2 linked regions of the Macaca fascicularis genome follow. The protein of the gene in region 1 interacts with the protein of each later gene in a pairwise test. Links are inferred from orthologs where the notes say so. Each region holds a gene or a part of one and is shown on either strand. Other genes may lie near its edges.

The links. The genes of interacting proteins can lie anywhere in the genome.
Region 2: the proteins of PPP1CC (region 1) and PPP1R3C interact in binary tests that used the Homo sapiens proteins (3 or more experiments, as listed by UniProt). The link is inferred for Macaca fascicularis from reciprocal best matches to the Homo sapiens genes PPP1CC and PPP1R3C.

Annotation. Positions count from the first base shown.
Region 1 is NC_088385.1:117,610,113-117,613,674, forward strand, and holds part of PPP1CC (serine/threonine-protein phosphatase PP1-gamma catalytic subunit), read right to left. Parts: intron 3,247-3,562; coding exon 3,016-3,246; intron 1-3,015. UniProt on the Homo sapiens protein: Protein phosphatase that associates with over 200 regulatory proteins to form highly specific holoenzymes which dephosphorylate hundreds of biological targets.
Region 2 is NC_088383.1:100,435,557-100,439,555, forward strand, and holds the start of PPP1R3C (protein phosphatase 1 regulatory subunit 3C), read right to left. Parts: upstream 2,860-3,999; 5' UTR 2,759-2,859; coding exon 2,745-2,758; intron 634-2,744; coding exon 1-633.

The DNA.
Region 1 (3,562 bases):
GATCCACCCACCTTGGCCTCCCAAAGTACTGGGATTACAGGCATGAGCTACCATGCCCGGCCTTTGATTCTTTAGTTATGCCACAAACTCCAGTTTCTTCTCTTGCCGATTTCTGCTGGCCTCTCCATGAAAAATCAGTTTGCTTCCTCCTTTTGCCTCTCAGCACTTGAAGCGTGGGGCTGTCTCTTTCTCTTCTCTCTTCATATCCTCCCTAAGGCCACCTCAAACCACTAGGAACATCTGGGTCCTAAAAGGTTTAACCAGGGAAATCGTCTAGCTTCCAAATCCTAAGATTCTGAGCCATAACCTGTAATGCAGTTTCCCATTACTGTACATCAGACAGCTCCGATAGCAGAAATGGATCAACAAACACTCCTGTTTTACCCAACAACATATACCTCAGCCTTTTCATCACATTTGCAAAATTTAAACAAACAAACAAAAAAGAAATGGTAGTATAAAGTACTTATGTACCTGGAAAACAGGCAGTGGTTTTAAAATTGTCCCATGAAAATCAACATTTGAATACAACTTTTCATTTTAATAAAATTAATATATATAATATATATACTAAATGTCTGCAAGCCTTCAACCAGAAGCCACCTATGTCAAGGGCACTTTTATGCCCACAAGTAGACTGGATGGCAAATTGTATCTGCCTGATGGGAGAGAGGATGCTTGATCTATAAACTGTGTTGATGATCAAACAGGAGTCGAAACTGATACCAACCGACACTGATCTTCTAAGTCATTTTAAAGGCCTCTGCATTGAGTAGAAACTGAAACTGATGCAGCTAGTATCATTACGTTAGGATAGAAGTCACAACAATGAGGTCAAATGGATTTGAATTCATCAGTGCAAACATGAAAAGTATTTACTGGGCTAACAGTTATGTAAAAGGAACCCTTTCTTAACTCAAGAGTAACACTTGGAATAAGTATCCAAAACACAATGTTGCCTGGGTGTGGTGGCCCATGCCTGTAATGCCAGCACTTAGGGAGGCTGAGGTGAAAGGATTGCTTGAGCCCAGAAATTACAGGTTGTAGTAAGCTATGATCCTACCTCTGCACTCCAGCTTAAGGCTCTGTCTCAAAAACAAAAAACAACAACAAAAAAAACCCACCACATCTGCCTTGTATTTCACTACCTAAGGAGTAGTAACTGGCTTACTGGTACTTCTTTGACACAGAATCCCTGTTAATATCGAATATCTTTCCTGTACAGGTTCAATGGTATCAGTCAGTCCAGAACCCACAGAATTTTTGTCCCTGATCATTCCTGCCACCTCATCTTACCAGCTGGATCTCAAGGACACAGACCAAGCAAACATCCAGTAGTGGGAAAGGGTGGTAGTAGAAGGGCTCAGTCTGTGAATATAATCTTTCTAGGATGCACTTCTAACAAATGTGCTAGCTCACTGCATCTATGTGAACTGAGATGGAAAAACACACATCTGGAGACTCTAAGTTAGGATGTGGTCTAGGGGAGGGCCACAGGGACAACACTTTGCTGATCTCCCTATAATCATATTAGCAAATGCCAACTACCTGAAGTTCCTTAACCACCCCACCCCTTCACTCCAAACCTGAAACCCCTCCTGGCAGAAATAAGCACAAAAGGAAGGTGAAGGTAAAGATTCAAAACCTTTTCTGACGTAAAACCCTTTATCAAACTGATTATTTTCAAAGTTTTTTTTTTTTGATACGGAGTCTCACTCTGCCACCCAGGCTGGAGTACAGTGGTGTGATCTCGACTCACTGAACCCGACTCCCGGGTTCAAGCGATTCTCCTGCCTCAGTCTCCCAAGTAGCTGGGACTACAGGCATCTGACACCACGCCTGGCTAATTTTTGTATTTTTAGTAGAGACAGGGTTTCGTCATGTTGGCCAGGATGGTCTCGATCTCTTGACCTCATGATCCACCTGCCGTGGCCTCCCAAAGTGTTGGGATTACAGGCGTGAGCCACTGCGCCCAGCCTATTTGCAAAGCTTTAAGAACTGTGTTTTGTCAATAGTCAAATCAAAGTGCACCTTTAAATAAACAATCCAAAATGAGTCACAAAATGCGTAAAATACTGTAAAAATAATCTTTGTTCAGCACATTTTAGTTTTAGGAAAGTTATTGCCATTCTTCCTGGGTGCGGTTATGCCAGAGGAGAAAAACCATAATAATTTCAAAAACTAATTATTTACACATTGCCAAGATTCCATTTGCATGCAATGTTCTCTAGCAGACAAAAAGTAGATTAGTGGTTGCCTGGGGGCTACGGTGAGATGGTCGCGTTAACTATAAATTTACTACAAATCACTGAATTGTATACTTTCAACAGATTAATTTTATGGAATGAAATTACATAATAAAGTTGCTTAAAACTATTTAGAATGGTTCTCAGATTTCTACCAAGAATTAAGTTATCTGTGAATACAACAATTTACATCTTAAAGAAACCACTACCATGATCATTATTTCCTAATCTGATCATCACATCATAAAAGAATCCAAGACCTTATTTTATTATAGCGGCAGTGTTCTTTTTCTACCCAAGAGAGAAAAAACTGGCTGGGCGCCATGGCTCACACGAGTAATCCCAGGACTTTTGAGTGGCCTAGGTGGGCAGATTCCTTGAGTCCACGAGTTTCAGATCAGCTTGGGCAACAAGGTGAAACCCCATCTCTTCAAAAAAATACATGAATTAGCTGAGCGTGGTGATGCATGTCTGCAGTCCTAGCTACCTGGGAGGCTGAGGCAGGAGGATCGCTTGAGCCTGGGAGGCAGAGGTTACAATGAGGTTAAGATGGTGCTACTGCACTCCAGCCTGGGCTGTTAACAGAGTGAGACTCTGTTCCCCCACCTCCCCTAAAAAGCTAAGTTAAAAACAAGTTGATGAAATAGAAAACATGAGAGATGATACCACTGCATCTAAACTCTCACAATTCCTAACAGAAGTACGTGATAATTGTTTATGATAAATATCTTAATTTCAATAACTTCCTGAGATATAGAAAAGTACTTACATTCATCATAAAATCCATAAATTCTGTTGATGCTGGCACATTCATGGTTCCCTCTGAGAAGAAAAAAATTCTCAGGATATTTGATTTTGTAGGCCAGTAAGAGGCAGATCGTCTCCAATGACTGCTTTCCCCTGTCCACATAGTCCCCAAGAAACAGGTAGTTGCTTTCTGGCGGGAAACCACCGTACTCAAAAAGTCGCAGCAAATCATAGTATTGCCCATGGATGTCACCTAGAAGCAAGAATTTTGTTACACAGTGTTCCCATACTTACAGCTCAATCCACTAACAAAGCTTTAGAAAGAAATTCTTTAAAAATTCATTGTACAATGGCATTGACCTCTAGTAATGAGAGTTTAATTGGACAGCCAACACTAAGTAATTTCCAAACTGGCATCATATTTAGTTCAATTGAACTTAATAAAATTTTTAAGTATATGTGTATGTCCAGAACCTCACACAAAATTCAACTAATTAAGAATTTATTCTGTGGAAAGGGTTATTATGTCCAGGCATGCCTTCTTGCCAAGTAACATGGTATTCCTTTCA
Region 2 (3,999 bases), on another chromosome or scaffold:
AAGGTATCACTATCTGAGCCACCATACACATTTTTCATATAGACACAGTCCACATCAGTGTAGCTTTTCCAAGAATCGAAAGTGATACGGATCTGAACTTTCTTCTCAAAACTCACATTTTTGACTTTCACAGTCCCTGTCACTGTTCGCTCTTGCAACGAGCAGTTCTCCAGACAGACAAAGTTCTTCTGAAAGTGACTCCGGAAACTTAAGTAATCGGTTGAAGGCTGAGGGAAATCTAAAATCAAGTTTTTCTCCTCGTGGCGTTTTAAGGCAGAGGAGATATCATTAAGATCCAAGAGATCAAACTGGAGATCCCACGCTGGTTCTTCTGGGAGGTCAGAGAAGACATGGATGGCGGTGAGAGAGAGGCCCTTGGAGTCAGCAAACACAACGCGCTTCTTGGCTTGGTTGTGCGAGCACTTCCAGTCATTCTGTGATTTGGCTTCCTGTTTTATGTTGAGACATGGTTTCAGAGGCTTTAATTTATTCACAAAATGTCTTCGTTGAAAGTCATCGTAAGGGCCCAGGAAACTCTTCACAGGTGGTGAATGAGCCAAGCAAAGCCTCATGGCCACATCCACGGGCATGACCGAACTTGTCAAAGGACGTGGATCTAAAACCTGGATCATTCTGGAATGCAAAGGGAAGAGGGATTATCACCTGGATCGGAAGTGCTCTTTCCCAGTGCCAAATACATATGTACTATTTTTGTGCTGACTGAATTTTAGCCAGTGCAGTAGATATCAGGCAGGTGCTATCATATATAGTAAAAGAGAACAGTATTAACTGATCAGATCTTCTTTCTATGTCTACCTCTACCCTTGGCTGGCTAAAGGCTAAGTGTTAACTGCTTAAAACACTTAGAGGGTGATGGGGGTCTCAGTCTCCCCATCTGAGAAATAAAAGGGTTCGATTTGATTATCTCCCAGGCAGCCTTGAGAACTGTGTGCTCTGTTCTGGACCAGTGGTCCTCAAACCTGTCTGGTCACTATGCCTGGGGAATTCATTTTCTTTCTTTCTTTTCTTCCCTCCTTCCCTGCTTCCTTTCCTTCCTTTCTTCCTTTCCTTCCTTCCTTTCTTTTCTCTTCCTCTCGTTCTCTCTCTCTCTTTCTTCTTTTTTCTTTCTTTCCAATTCCTGGGACTCAGAACCACTGAGGCAGAACTTCTGGGGCTAGGGCCAAGGGATGGATATGCTCTTAAAGCTTCCCAGGTGATTCTAATGACCAGAGAGGTTCAGAAGCCACAGTTCCAGACCCTCTGCTCCCTCTGGCTACTTTGGCTTATTTTGCTGCTAAATTGATTGACACTTCTCTGGTAAGGTAATTCACTTGAAAAACAAAAAAAAACAAAAATAACATGCAACAGTTTTGAGAGTGAGAAGGCTAGAGAAGAAGTCAAAGAATTCTCTTTGTACTTTGATTGTCATGCTTTTCCTCATTTTTCACAAATAACCACTGAAATACAAGTCAATAATTCATATGTACTTACAAACTGTGTAACTGATAATTCATCTAAAGAGATGCCCATGACAAGTCCACATTTAAGTGGAAAACCTGATTACCTGAAAGTTGGCGTGTTTTAAAATATACATTATATGTATGCAAGCTTATAAATATTGAAAAACTCTGTAAGAAATACACCTTTCCTAATAATGTAATAATTATTATCTCTGGGTGATAGGACTATAGATTATCTATTTTCATTTTTGTTCCTTTTTTGGCATTTTCTAATAGACATTTATAAGTAGAAAGACAATAAAGCTATTTAAAGTTTTAAACATGACTATGCTCAGCAATATTAAACCAAGAAGCATCCATAAAGAAGACTTTTCTCTGGCCTTTAGCCCTCATTATATATTTCCAAGCTTATGGTATTAGGATTTTTTTCCCTATCTTAGCCTTACAAGTAAGAGGTGTGTGTATACTGTACACGACATTTCTCAGTCTGGCTTTAGTAACTCTCCTCACAGCAGCTCTAAATATGTATCCAAGTGGTCATTATCACAAAAATGGGTAATAACACTCGCAGAATTTACTGTATTAGCTCTGGGGTTTTTCTGGGAGACCTGCAAACTTAGAACAAACAAATGAAAGCTAAAGCTATATTTGTGGGTCTAATAATAGTTAATAGGCAGGATTTTTAGAGAAGTCTTCTGCTAAGCTATGTCTGGAGAAGCTATTTAAAGTAGTTTTATGGCAGTTTTTTTATTTTATTTTATTTTTACTTTTTGCATTTATAGAAAGACAGTTTTACTTTGGGTGATTTCCTTGGAACTTTAAGTCCTGGACAAGAGTTAAAAGTAATTGTTTGCTCAAACTCTTGAGATTGTGCTATGGCAAACTGTGATAAGAAGGACGAATGAATGCAAACGTCGTCCTGTAATTTTTTTCCTCCAAGCTAAACCACCTAACCAGCAATGTCAGAGTGCTGTTCTCACCACTTCAGCTGCCTGAGTCCTTGCGACATTTGTGCAGGACCAAAAGAACAGCCGCATCCATGAGAAAATCAGAACTCAAGCTGATTCACGTTAAGATAACTTCTGCTTTAAGATGCTGATTGCTAAAATAGGCTCTGCTTAAGAAATAGAGTCAAATTTCTACACCTCCAAGCCCTCTCGGTTGCCAGATTCAACTAAGCAGTCAGTTCCCTTATCCTCATGACAGAACTGAAACGCCCCCCCAACTTCCCCACAGCTGTGCGTTCCCCTGTGTTCCTACCGCGCAGAGGTGCAGCGAACCTACCTGGTGCAGCTCATTAGGCAGACAGGCGGCGGACCGTGAAAGCCAGCACCCACTGCCTGCACAAATTCGAACCACAGCTCCCTGCCTTCCCCCGCGGCGGTCGCTGGGAGAGATTGAGGGCCTGGCGCCTAGAGGCCGCTTATCTGCTCCGAAGCACGTGACCCGATTCCTGGGACCAATCGCCGGGCCTCGGGCCCCATGGCGCGACCAACCAGCACCCAGATGGGGCGAGAGCCCTCGCCCCGGGAATATGATCGCCCCGGGGCCGGACGTGCAGAGCGCGAGCTGGGCATCCCGGGGAGGTTCTGGGACTCCGCGGCCAGCTGGACGCAGCCGCGTAACGGGAACCCTGGGCGAGGGGCCGGGCAGGCACGTACCGCATGCAACGGGCGCCGGCCAAGAGAGAGCGCAGCCAGCCTCGCCCAGGCGGGGCGCCAGTGCCTCAGGCTTGGGGCGGCTGTTACTTGGGAATAGCTTTGTGGGTCAGTGCAGTTGAATCTCCACACAGATGTGGCTCAATCCGAATGTGTATCGCATTTGAAATGTTTATGTTGTTCATTGCCCGGTGTATCCGCATTTCTCCCTCATCTTAGCCTGCGCGATCCCAAACTGGCTTCATGCTTTTCTGTTAGTTATGGGTTCACAGATGCACCACACAGTAGACAGCTGCCGGGAATTACCAACTTATCTAACAAATGTTAGGAAAGCATACGAGCCCCATAAAACAGCGAGGTGGCATTTAATTAAAAGATACTTTGTATTTCTGTCTATTCTTCAATTTTCTCCCCTGCGGGGAACACTAAAGCCGGAAGAGAAATGACCCTTTTCACACATACAGCCGTATGTGTGAAAGAAGAAAAAAAATCACGCTGAGTATCACTGGGAAAGGCACTTCATGCTGAGGTTTTATTTTTGAAATGAAAATCTAACTAATGGCAGGTCTTCTAGCCCCTTTGGCTCAACCAAAACTAGCTGGAAGGTCTTTGAATTGACACTTACTAGCTACACGAATCTAGGCAAGTTCTAACCTCAGTTTCCTCATATGTAAAACGGAGATAGTAACGTTCTGAGGATGAAGTAAGATGGTGCCAATGAACAGACTCAGCACGATGCCCAGCTCCTGTGTTCAACCCGGGCTACTTCCTAAGTTTCTACTTGATCTCTCAGCTAGAGTTTTTACTCTATCACCTCAAGGCACCTGGTGCCTGAGCTAAAATATTGAGAATAACTGCTGCTTGTTGAGCCTTTACTCTGC